3 linked regions of the Mus musculus genome follow. The protein of the gene in region 2 binds, or shares a complex with, the protein of the main gene of each other region. Links are inferred from orthologs where the notes say so. Each region holds a gene or a part of one and is shown on either strand. Other genes may lie near its edges.

Region 1 (2,666 bases), on a different chromosome or scaffold from region 2:
TCTCCTATGATATCAGTAAGTTCTTTGCCCTGGGAAATCCCCCAAAAGGAGCTGTGGCCAAAGGCAGAGTAACCCTGTGGTAACTGCCTGGAATGGATCATCTCAAGCCTGCTGGTTCTGTGTGCGCTGGTGGCCTTTGCTCAGGCAGAGGATGGATCCATGTGACCCATCACGGAGGGTCTGGAATGTTGGATTTTTTTCAGCTGAGGACTGTCAGAGAGGGCTGGCTGGCATCTGCTGCACCGTGCAGACAGTGACCAGGGATGCATGCCTTGGACCCAGCTCATAGTGTAGAGCAATGAGTGTCATCTTTGTAGTAGACCTGGGTTCATTTGGAGATGTTCTATTTAAACAGAACCGTTTGGAAACAAGTAAACACTGATGTGGGGTTTAGGGATGTATCTCGGTGGTGAAATGCACACCTATGCATCATAAGCAAGAACCTGGAAACATCTCCACAACCCCTGCTGTACACACGAACTCCCTTTCCTGTGTCTCTTTTCCCTGGGCTCCATGGGGTCATGAGCTGTGGGCACAGGGTGCCACACAGAATGCAGAGGGAAGCAGAAGCTGCCCATGACCAGCCATGGTTGCTTGGATCCTGGATGCAAAGGTATCAGAGAGCCTAGAGGTTCCTGTTGAGATATTGCAGTCTCTGGCTTCCATGAGTTCAGAGCTGCACTGATCTGTAATGCTGTGCCTTTTAGTTAGCAGGCATGGCTTCTGCTAAGAACATGTAGTTCAGAGCTTGGTTCTGCAGTGCTAAGTCCAATATGCAGCTAGTGTACAAATTCTAAGGTCTTTTAGGGAAAGCGACTAGCTTTGGCTGTAGGTAGTCTGGGCCAGTGGGACCTGTTGAATAATGGAAGGGCAAGCTGGCAATAGCTCCGGGCCTTGATTTACTTTCGATGTTGGCAAGTTGATGTGTAGGGGCCCCTGCTACTTTCTGTGGTGGGCTGGCTGGACTGATCCCACTCTCCTTGTCTGCCTGGACTCCTTAATGCACTCACATCTGAACCTGCAGACTAAGCCCGTGGACCCAACTGTGGATGGGGGCGCACAGGTGCAACAAGTGGTCAACATTGAGTGTATATCTGATTTCACAGAGGCACCTGTCCTCAACATCCAGTTCAGGTGAGTGGTGTGTGCCTCCTGTGTCCTTTCCCAACCAGTGTGCTTCTCTTCAAAGTTAGTGCTGTGTCCCTGTGCCTGTGTGCAGAGTAGTTAGTGCCAGGCCTGGAATTCTAGACTCCAGGAGCAGGTGCAGAGGGAGCTGGTGTCTGTGACCATGGCACGGTGCCCATGGGGTGTGAGTCTTCTGTGTGGTCTGTGGGGCTAGGCTGTTTCTGACCCAGATGATTTTGTGGTGAGAAATCGAAGGGCTTGCCCCTCAAGGAGTCCAAGAATCAGGCTCTCCACGCTGTCTTGTTGAAGCTGGCTTAAGAGGACAGCTTAAAGGGGAACGGTGGTAGCTGGTTTGGACCCAGACTTCTGGGCCATAGTATGTAGCTGCCTTTCTTTTTTTTTTAGTGATCATAATAGAGCATGATTCCTTCTTGGGGAGCTACTAGGCTAATTGATTTGGTAGGAGTTCTACTAGGGCTTGTTCCGGGTCTTCATTTGCCAAAGGAATAGGACTAAAAGGAACTGGTCCACTGACACTTCACATAAAGCAGTGGTTTGGTCCTTTGATCATCTGTGAATGGAGGGATAGATGGAGGCTGTGGCTTAGCCCCTCCAGGAATACTGCTGGTGTGCAGTCTTTGTGGCTATTATTGGGGTGGGTAGCCACGTGGCCTTTTTCTAAGCCCAGAAGACTCACCAACGGAAACATTCTGGCTCCATGTTTGTTCTCCATAACGTGACTCTGTTGTTACAGGTATGGTGGGACCTTCCAGAATGTGTCTGTTAAGCTTCCCATCACTCTCAACAAATTTTTCCAGCCCACAGAAATGGCTTCTCAGGATTTCTTTCAACGTTGGAAGCAGTTGAGCAAGTGAGAGGGGTGAACTGTGGGTGGAGAGGGGGATGGGGATGCTGTCTCTGGACAGGATGCTGTATGGGTGTCAGCATAGCTTTTAGTACTTAACATGCTGTTTTTGTAGTCCACAGCAAGAAGTGCAGAATATCTTCAAAGCAAAGCATCCGATGGACACAGAGATCACTAAGGCAAAGGTAAAGGTTGTATGGCGATGTCCCTGAGGCCATTGCTGGGACCAGTACTGGGAGGCTTGACCTGCTTCTTCATTCTGTGTAGATTATTGGATTTGGTTCTGCGCTCCTGGAAGAAGTTGACCCGAATCCTGCAAATTTCGTGGGTGCTGGCATAATACACACCAAAACCACCCAGATTGGCTGCTTGTTGCGCCTGGAGCCAAACCTGCAAGCTCAGGTGAGGTCTCCACAACAGGAGGATGGATATGCTTGTGTTGCTATTCATTTCAGTGCAGTTTATTTATAGAGATACTAAGTGTTGTGGTCATGGTGGCAGTGCAGACATTTAGACATCTCCTGGCCAGCAGAGCACATCATATTTCTATCTCCTCACAGAAGGCCTGACATACTAACAGTGCCTGTTTAGCAGTGTAGCCCTGAGCTGTGTCTAAGCAGGGCTCCCGGTGCTGTCTTGCTCTGTGTCCCTCTCTGGGTGTGGTGCACAGTGCTGC
Region 2 (3,500 bases):
CCTTTCTTATAGAACCTAGACCGCTAGTCCTGGGATTGTACCACCCTCCATCTCAATCAATAATTAATAAGATGCCATATAGCTGTATATTATGGAGGTGTTTTCTTAATTAAGGTTCCCGCCTCTCAGATGGCTTTATCATGTGTCAAGTTGACACAATAAAACTAGTCAGTACACTAGGCTAGCCTCAAACTCAGAGATCTATTCTGTCTCAGCCTCTGGAGGTGCTGGGATTAAAGGTGTGTGCCACCAACTTCTGTATTAGTCAGGGTTCTCTAGAGTCACAGAACTTATGAGTAGTCATATAGTAAGGGAATTTGTTGATAGCTTAGTCTGTAGTCTAACTCCCAACAATGCTCAGCAGCAGCTGTGAATGGAAGCCCAAGGATCTAGCATTGCTCAGTCCCAGAAGGCAAAAGGCTTTTTAAAAGGGGCTAGGGCGCTGAAAATACATGTAAGAGTAGCTGAGGTGAAGCAGCATAACCCCTTGAAAGGTAACTCTCTGAGAGAGATGAAGATGACTGAAACCAGCACTGCAGGGAAGGATTTGCTGGCAGACCTGACACAGAAGAGAAAGGGAAGTGGAAGGAAAAAAGTGGAAGAAGATGCCATGGTTTTCACTAGAAGACCGAGGTTACAGCAGATTCAGGAAATAATAAGAGCTCTGTTTTGACACATAGCAGTCAGTTAGACATCCAAGGACCTATCTGAGTAAGCAGACTAGAGATCCAAATCCAGAAGAGGTCACTTGAAGACTGCATGTAAAATCAAGTGCTTTAGTCCTCCAATACAAAATACTTAATAAACAAGACTGTTTTCCCTTAAAGTAGACTTAAAATCTTACCTTTCCATGCCCTCAAAGAGATAAATGTGTTTCTTGTGTTTCAGGATCTTCAAGATGAAGTTCAAAGGGAGAGTATTAATCTACAAAAACTGCAGGCCCAGAAGCAGCAGGTGCAGGAGCTCCTGGGTGAACTGGATGAGCAGAAAGCCCAGCTGGAGGAGCAGCTCCAGGAAGTCAGGAAAAAGTGTGCTGAGGAGGCCCAGCTGGTAAAGCCTGGCTGCTTACTGACCGACTTGCTACCTCCATCTTGTTCCTGGTTTAGAAAGAAAACATTGCCTGCTTGTTAGTGGCACTGTAGCCAGCAGCTGCTTTATGAAGGCGTTGGAAGGATGCTTATGAAGAGTTATAGTTCTCTGTAGTAGGAATTAGAAGGGTGATATTTTTCCAGCTCTTGATTACACAGATGTTACCTGTGTTACACAGATGCCTCTGAGTTGCTTTTGGCCCCTTCCCTGTTAACTTTCACTGCCAAAAGAATACCTCAAAAGTTCCAGTCCACTAAACTAGACATCTCGTGTCTAATTCCATCTCCCATTCATCTCCATTTATAGATTTCTTCCCTGAAAGCAGAAATAACTAGTCAAGAATCTCAGATCTCCAGTTATGAGGAAGAACTGTTGAAAGCTAGAGAAGAACTAAGTCGCCTACAACAAGAAACAGCACAATTGGAAGAAAGTGTGGAGTCAGGGAAGGCTCAGCTGGAACCTCTTCAGCAGCACCTACAAGAGTCACAACAGGAAATCAGCTCAGTAAGTGGAAACCAGCAGAATGCCCAGAGGGGCCTTGTGTGTCCTTGTTGTAACTTTCTAACACCTGCCCCTTCTTCCTCTGCCTAGTTAGTATCTCTGGTTGTTTAATACTTAAAGTTGGTGTCTAATGGTCATTTACATAATAGATTAGAGTAGGGGCTTTGTAGTTAAAGCTGTTCAGGTTTAAATGCTGGCTCTGTCATTTCATAGGCGAATCACTTTTGAGTATCAGCTTTTTTATCTTTAAAGTTGAAGATTTAACAACAAACCTACTTATTAGGGCTATTATAAGGATTAAATGAGGCAAAACATGAGGTAAAAAAGTTAGAGTCATGGGGAAAAGAAGCTTCAATTGAGAAAATGCTTCTGTGAGATGGGACAAGCCTGCAGGGCATTTTTTTCTTTTCTTTTTTGAGACAGGGTCTTGTCTCTAACAGTCTTGGCTATCCTGGAACTCACTTTGTAGACCAAGCTGGTCTTGAACTCACAGAAATCTACCCTCCCCTGCCTCCCAAGTGCTGAGATTAAAGGCATATCACTATGTCCAGCTTGAAAGACATTTTCTTAATTAGTGATTGATGGGGAGGGCTCAGCCTATTGTGGCTTGTGCCATCCCTGGGCTGATGGTCCTGGGTTGTAAAAAAAAAAAAAGCAGGCTGAGCAAGCCATGAGGAGCCACCCAGTAAGCAGCACTCCTCCATGGCCTCTGCATCAGTTCCTGCCTCCAGGTTCCTGCCCTGTTTGAGTTCCTGTCCTGAATTCCATTAATGATGAACAATGCTGTGGAAGTGTAAGCCAAATGATCCTTCTCCTCCCCAAGTTGCTTTGGTCATGAGGTTTCATCACAGCAGTAATAACTCTAAGACACTGAACAACTTACTGGGTTTTTTTGGGATTCCAATTTTTAGATCAATTTTTCTTAGTGAAATCATTTAGTTTTCTTGTATCTGTTTATTATTATATATTGATTCTTCCATTTGTGTCTTACGGTTGAATTCATTTGACTAGTTTAGGTCAAAACAGCTTTATCCTTTGTTTATTGGACTTTGTGTGACTTATTTTTTTAGAAGAAGTAGTTCTCAGAGACCTGACAGAAATTTCATAAGGCTTACAAAAACAAATGCATGCATGCTGACATTGCAGGAGGACTCACTGGGAGAGATTATTGAAGCCTTTAAGTCATGCTTCATTCCTAGAGGAATCTGCTAATAGGAAGCAAACTCATCCCTGAGTTAGTCTAGGGGCATAGATATTTGTGATATATTTATTTCTAGGATTAAATTGTTTTGTATTTCTACTTTGTATTGGCAGATGCAAATGAGATTGGAAATGAAAGATCTGGAAACTGATAATAACCAATCAAATTGGAGCAGTAGCCCACAAAGCGTTCTTGTTAATGGTGCTACAGATTACTGTAGCCTCAGCACCAGCAGCAGTGAAACAGCCAACTTCAACGAACATGCTGAAGGCCAAAACAACCTAGAGTCTGAACCCACACACCAGGAGTCCTCAGTGAGTTTTTGTTTCATAGTGTTTATTATTAAGTTTCCCCCTCGACTCCCCCCACAGATTGATGAAGATCAAAGTTAGTGTGTACAGACTTATGTGCAGAGACCAGGGGGCGTCCTCAAAGTGTCACTCCTTAGATGCTGTTCACTTGTTTTTAAAAAAATAGGGCCTCGGAGATCTAGAGCTTACCAATTAGACTAGGGTGACTGGCCGGAAGCCCCAGGTGTCTGTCTGTCTACATCACCCCTGCTCTGGGTTTACAAGCACACACCACCACTTTTGGCTTTTTGCATGGATGCTGGGGATCTGAACTCAGTCCACACTTGAGCAGCAGGCTCTTTATCAAATAGGCTCTCTCCAGCCCCAGAGCAGTGTTTTATCAGCATTGTATATAATAG
Region 3 (3,500 bases), on a different chromosome or scaffold from region 2:
CTGACACAGTGGAACCCCAGTCCCAAGGACTCTAGGATTCCCCATGGTCCATGTGGAAAATTCTTATTCATTCTTCGTCTCCCAGAGTTGCTCAAATACTACCTGTGTGCCAATTCAGGAGGGAGAACAAGTTTTCTCTGCATATATCTGTCGTCCCTGCCTCCACTATTCCATAGGTTCGAGGGATAAGAACAGATCTCGTTGATTTTATTCAATGGTGTGGGATTCCAGTAGGCAATGGTGAATAGAGTGACTAAATGTCTCTGTCATTGACCACTTAAGGCCCTTCATTATTTCATTTTTAAAAAGTCTTTACACTAATAAGAATTGGAACATTTATTGTTCTGTTCGACCTCCTGCAAAATCCTGTCAAGAAGTTGCTCTCTGGGCTGGAGAGATGGCTCTGAAGTTAAAAGCACTGACTGCTCTTCCTGAGGTCCTGAGTTCAATTCCCAGCAACCACATGGTGACTCACAACCATCTGTAATGGATCCGATGCCTTCTCCTGGTTTGTCTGACAGCTACAGTGCACTCATAAAAATAAAATAAATAAATCTTAAGAAAAGAAAAAGAAAAAGAAAAGAAACATGAAAGTAGCATGCCTTGGGCTCGAGAGATGGCTCAGTGGTTAAGAACACTCACTGGCTGCTCTTCTGGAGGGCCTGGGTTCAATTCCCAGCACCTACATGGTGGCTCACCACTGTCTGTGACTCCAGTGCCAAGGTCTCCTCAGGCACAGACATACATGCAGACAAAACACCCACACACATTAAATAAATAAGTAACTAAATAAACTGCTTTTAAAGAGTATCACGCCTGACTAAAGCCTCTTAGGAAGGGACTTCTTTGCACTTAGCAATCCCATGACTTGGGCTGCTTCTCAGCACGGAATGTTTTCTTCATTGGAGGCGACAACTGAAGACAGCTTGCAGTCCATGGTTGCGGGAACTGCTAGTTTTATCATGGCCACAAGATGGGGCATTCGTTCTTCTTGGTAGTTAAAACAGTTTTAGATGCTACAACTAAGAAAGTATTTAGAGGAATCATAAATTATATAAATCTGTGGTTATCATTATATGTAGGAAATGATCCAATGACTCTGTGAAATCTTTCACCGAGACTTTTCTCTTCCCTCCGCAGGACATTATCATTTTGATATGTTGCAAGCCCCTGTTTCACGGTGATCTACCTATAATCTGAGTGCTCACAGGCTGGAAAACAGAACTCAAAGCTGGACTGAGCTACAGGGGGAGACCCTGTCTTCAAAGCCCCCAGTACCCCCCCCCCCCCAGCAAGAAAACCGGCTCTCCAGTTTTGACTGAAACCCCCCCCCCCCCAGTCTCGATCCCATTATCACTGTGAAAGGGTTTGGCTTTTAAGTTTGCACTCCTACAGTCCAGTGCCTCTGCTGGGTTCTGATACACAACTCCCGTAGACGAAATATTTGCTTCAGCTTATCATGTTCCCAGCCCTCCCTGCCCCCATTTCCAAGATCAATCCCTCCAAAGCAGAAATCTTACCACAGATGGGACCAGGTCCCGCTTCGTCCCACTGTTCTTTGTGCTGCTATTTACGTCAGATAATACATTCTCATCAGCCCCTTAAGTTTTTGCCTAGTTTCTCTCTTACCCGCGAGGGATTATTTCATTAAAGTCAGAGCAGATTCACCCACAGCTATGAATGTAAAGGGCCTATATAAGAAGCATCTGCTGGAAGGAGTGGGGGGAGGGGCGGGGCAGACAAATGGGCTTGGACACCTCAGCGGGAAGCCCTCTCCAGGCTACCTTGTAGCTGTAGTGTGCAGAATAATTGACCCACTTCCTGACGTCAGGCTTGTCCTCCACAGACACGGATCTCACGGCTGCTTTGGAGGCAGAAGTCGTGGGCATGCTGAACTCAACGTTTACATAGTTGGCAAATCTGGAAGGCACTTCCCGGTCAGAGCCAAGCTCAAGGTGGCAAAAGAAACAGTGTGGGTGGCCAGAAGCTGCAACAGAAAGAAAGCATCCAGACGTTAAGTCCTTTGAGGAGGAAATGAAAAGGGAAAGGAGGCTAATGCGCCACCCTGCTAACGCTGCAGGCTCCGAGCCTGGCTGCTTGCTGAGGGTCCAATCAGGCGCTTCCCCAGACATCAGGCTCTGAGAGCCTCAGACCCTTTCATCCTGTGCCTCTTGATTACAGCAGCCTGGACACCAGCATAAAAGCCACAGTCCATGGAGGCTAGAGAGAGAGGGCTCAGTGGTTAAAAGCAATGGCGGCTCTTATGGAAGACCCTAGTTTCAGTTCTCAGCGCCCTCACGGCAGCTCACAACTCTCTCTAACTCCAGTTCCAGGAGGGCCGACCCCTTCACACAGACAGACATGCAGGCAAAACTCCAATGCACATAAAATAGAAGATAAATAAATAAAAAGAAGTACCAAGGTGATTAAACATCATTTGTAAAAATGAGAGCAAACAAAAAAACAAATGGGAAAAAAAGTCCACAGCCTGAGAAATAGGCTTTTATGACTGTTTAGATCCAAGGGCTGGCTGTGCGGACACAGCACAAACACTAAGAAAGAGGCCTGAGACTGGAAGAATGAGCAGATGAGATTAGCACTTGGCACCCAAGAAACCATCAGCGACAGCCGCCTGGAGCAAACTGCTCTCCTTTATAAGATGAATTCTCCTAATAGCATTTTGTATTTTCAGAGGTGCCTCGGGCATGTTTCTGCGGGTGGGTGATGTATGAAAGTGACAGAGTTATGGACAGCACACAGGAAAACTGGGGGGACACAGTGCACTGGACCAATGATCTGATCTGCCGAACCACTGTCTTAGGGTGGCTGAGGAGGGTTCAGGGGGTCACAGCGAAGAAAAGTGTCAGAGCTGTGACTGTGGCCTGCTACCCCTTTGTCTGAGTCATAATTTCATGGCCCCTGAAACATGGAGACCAGGTTGCAGGATGACAGTGTAGAGATGAGAGGCGGCAGATGACTACAGATAAACTGTGATGTGGCTTTGACTGATGGTATAACTCTTCTCTGCCTCTTCGAGTCAACAATTTCAATTTCCTTTATTGCTCTGGGCAGGGTTTTTCAATCTCGGAGAGTCAGGAGACGCACACCCTCTCTCCAAGGAAATCACTCCAGAGTGAGGTATTTGTTTTTCGCAGATGTAGCATAATTTAATGGTTATTTCTAAAGAGTAAGGCTAGGATATTTAACAGAAAAATTTGCACTGGCTTTTAGGAAAGGAACAGAAACTAATACACACACACACACACACACACACACACACACACACACACATAAATTAATCAGAACTTGATGGTATCTGAAAACACATCTGTTCAATCTATTGTTTTGGGTGCCACGGACTAATTACAGAGCTGTCATTTGTCATCTCTATGAAAACTGTGCTTCACACTGAAAAGCATTCCCCAATTTCACTCTGAATGAGCTAGGTACTAATAACCCTATCTCGTAAATGAGAAAAATTAGATCTCTCTGACAAGGCT

What was found. Proteins that work in one complex are often made in the same cells at the same time.
Region 1: the proteins of Eps15 (region 2) and Ap2a2 are in contact, whole or in part, in a crystal structure (PDB 1KYU), measured with the Mus musculus proteins. Residues at the interface, in NP_031969.1 of Mus musculus: Asp629, Pro630, Phe631, Lys632; in XP_006536218.1 of Mus musculus: Phe442, Phe443, Trp446, Lys447, Asp487, Pro488, Val494, Arg511.
Region 3: the proteins of Eps15 (region 2) and Ston2 are in contact, whole or in part, in an NMR structure (PDB 2JXC), measured with the Homo sapiens proteins. The link is inferred for Mus musculus from reciprocal best matches to the Homo sapiens genes EPS15 and STON2. Residues at the interface, in NP_001972.1 of Homo sapiens: Leu139, Gly148, Lys152, Pro153, Val154, Leu155, Leu156, Asn157, Ser158, Lys159, Val162, Asp163, Leu165, Gly166, Arg167, Trp169, Glu170, His176, Gly178, Met189, Val192, Tyr193, Leu196, Glu197, Lys198; in NP_001353779.1 of Homo sapiens: Trp309, Arg310, Ala311, Thr312, Asn313, Pro314, Phe315, Glu318, Gln321, Asp322, Gln324, Pro325, Ser326, Ile328, Asn329, Pro330, Phe331, Phe334, Phe335, Glu337, Gln338, Glu339, Arg340.

What each region holds. Positions count from the first base shown.
Region 1 is NC_000073.6:141,628,180-141,630,845, forward strand, and holds part of Ap2a2 (AP-2 complex subunit alpha-2), read left to right. Parts: intron 1-1,010; coding exon 1,011-1,134; intron 1,135-1,879; coding exon 1,880-1,996; intron 1,997-2,105; coding exon 2,106-2,175; intron 2,176-2,257; coding exon 2,258-2,392; intron 2,393-2,666. UniProt on the Homo sapiens protein: Component of the adaptor protein complex 2 (AP-2). Adaptor protein complexes function in protein transport via transport vesicles in different membrane traffic pathways.
Region 2 is NC_000070.6:109,360,275-109,363,774, forward strand, and holds part of Eps15 (epidermal growth factor receptor substrate 15), read left to right. Parts: intron 1-888; coding exon 889-1,050; intron 1,051-1,395; coding exon 1,396-1,593; intron 1,594-2,904; coding exon 2,905-3,105; intron 3,106-3,500. UniProt on the Homo sapiens protein: Involved in cell growth regulation. May be involved in the regulation of mitogenic signals and control of cell proliferation. Involved in the internalization of ligand-inducible receptors of the receptor tyrosine kinase (RTK) type, in particular EGFR.
Region 3 is NC_000078.6:91,639,937-91,643,436, forward strand, and holds part of Ston2 (stonin-2), read right to left. Parts: intron 1,988-3,500; coding exon 1,785-1,987; intron 1-1,784. UniProt on the Homo sapiens protein: Adapter protein involved in endocytic machinery. Involved in the synaptic vesicle recycling. May facilitate clathrin-coated vesicle uncoating.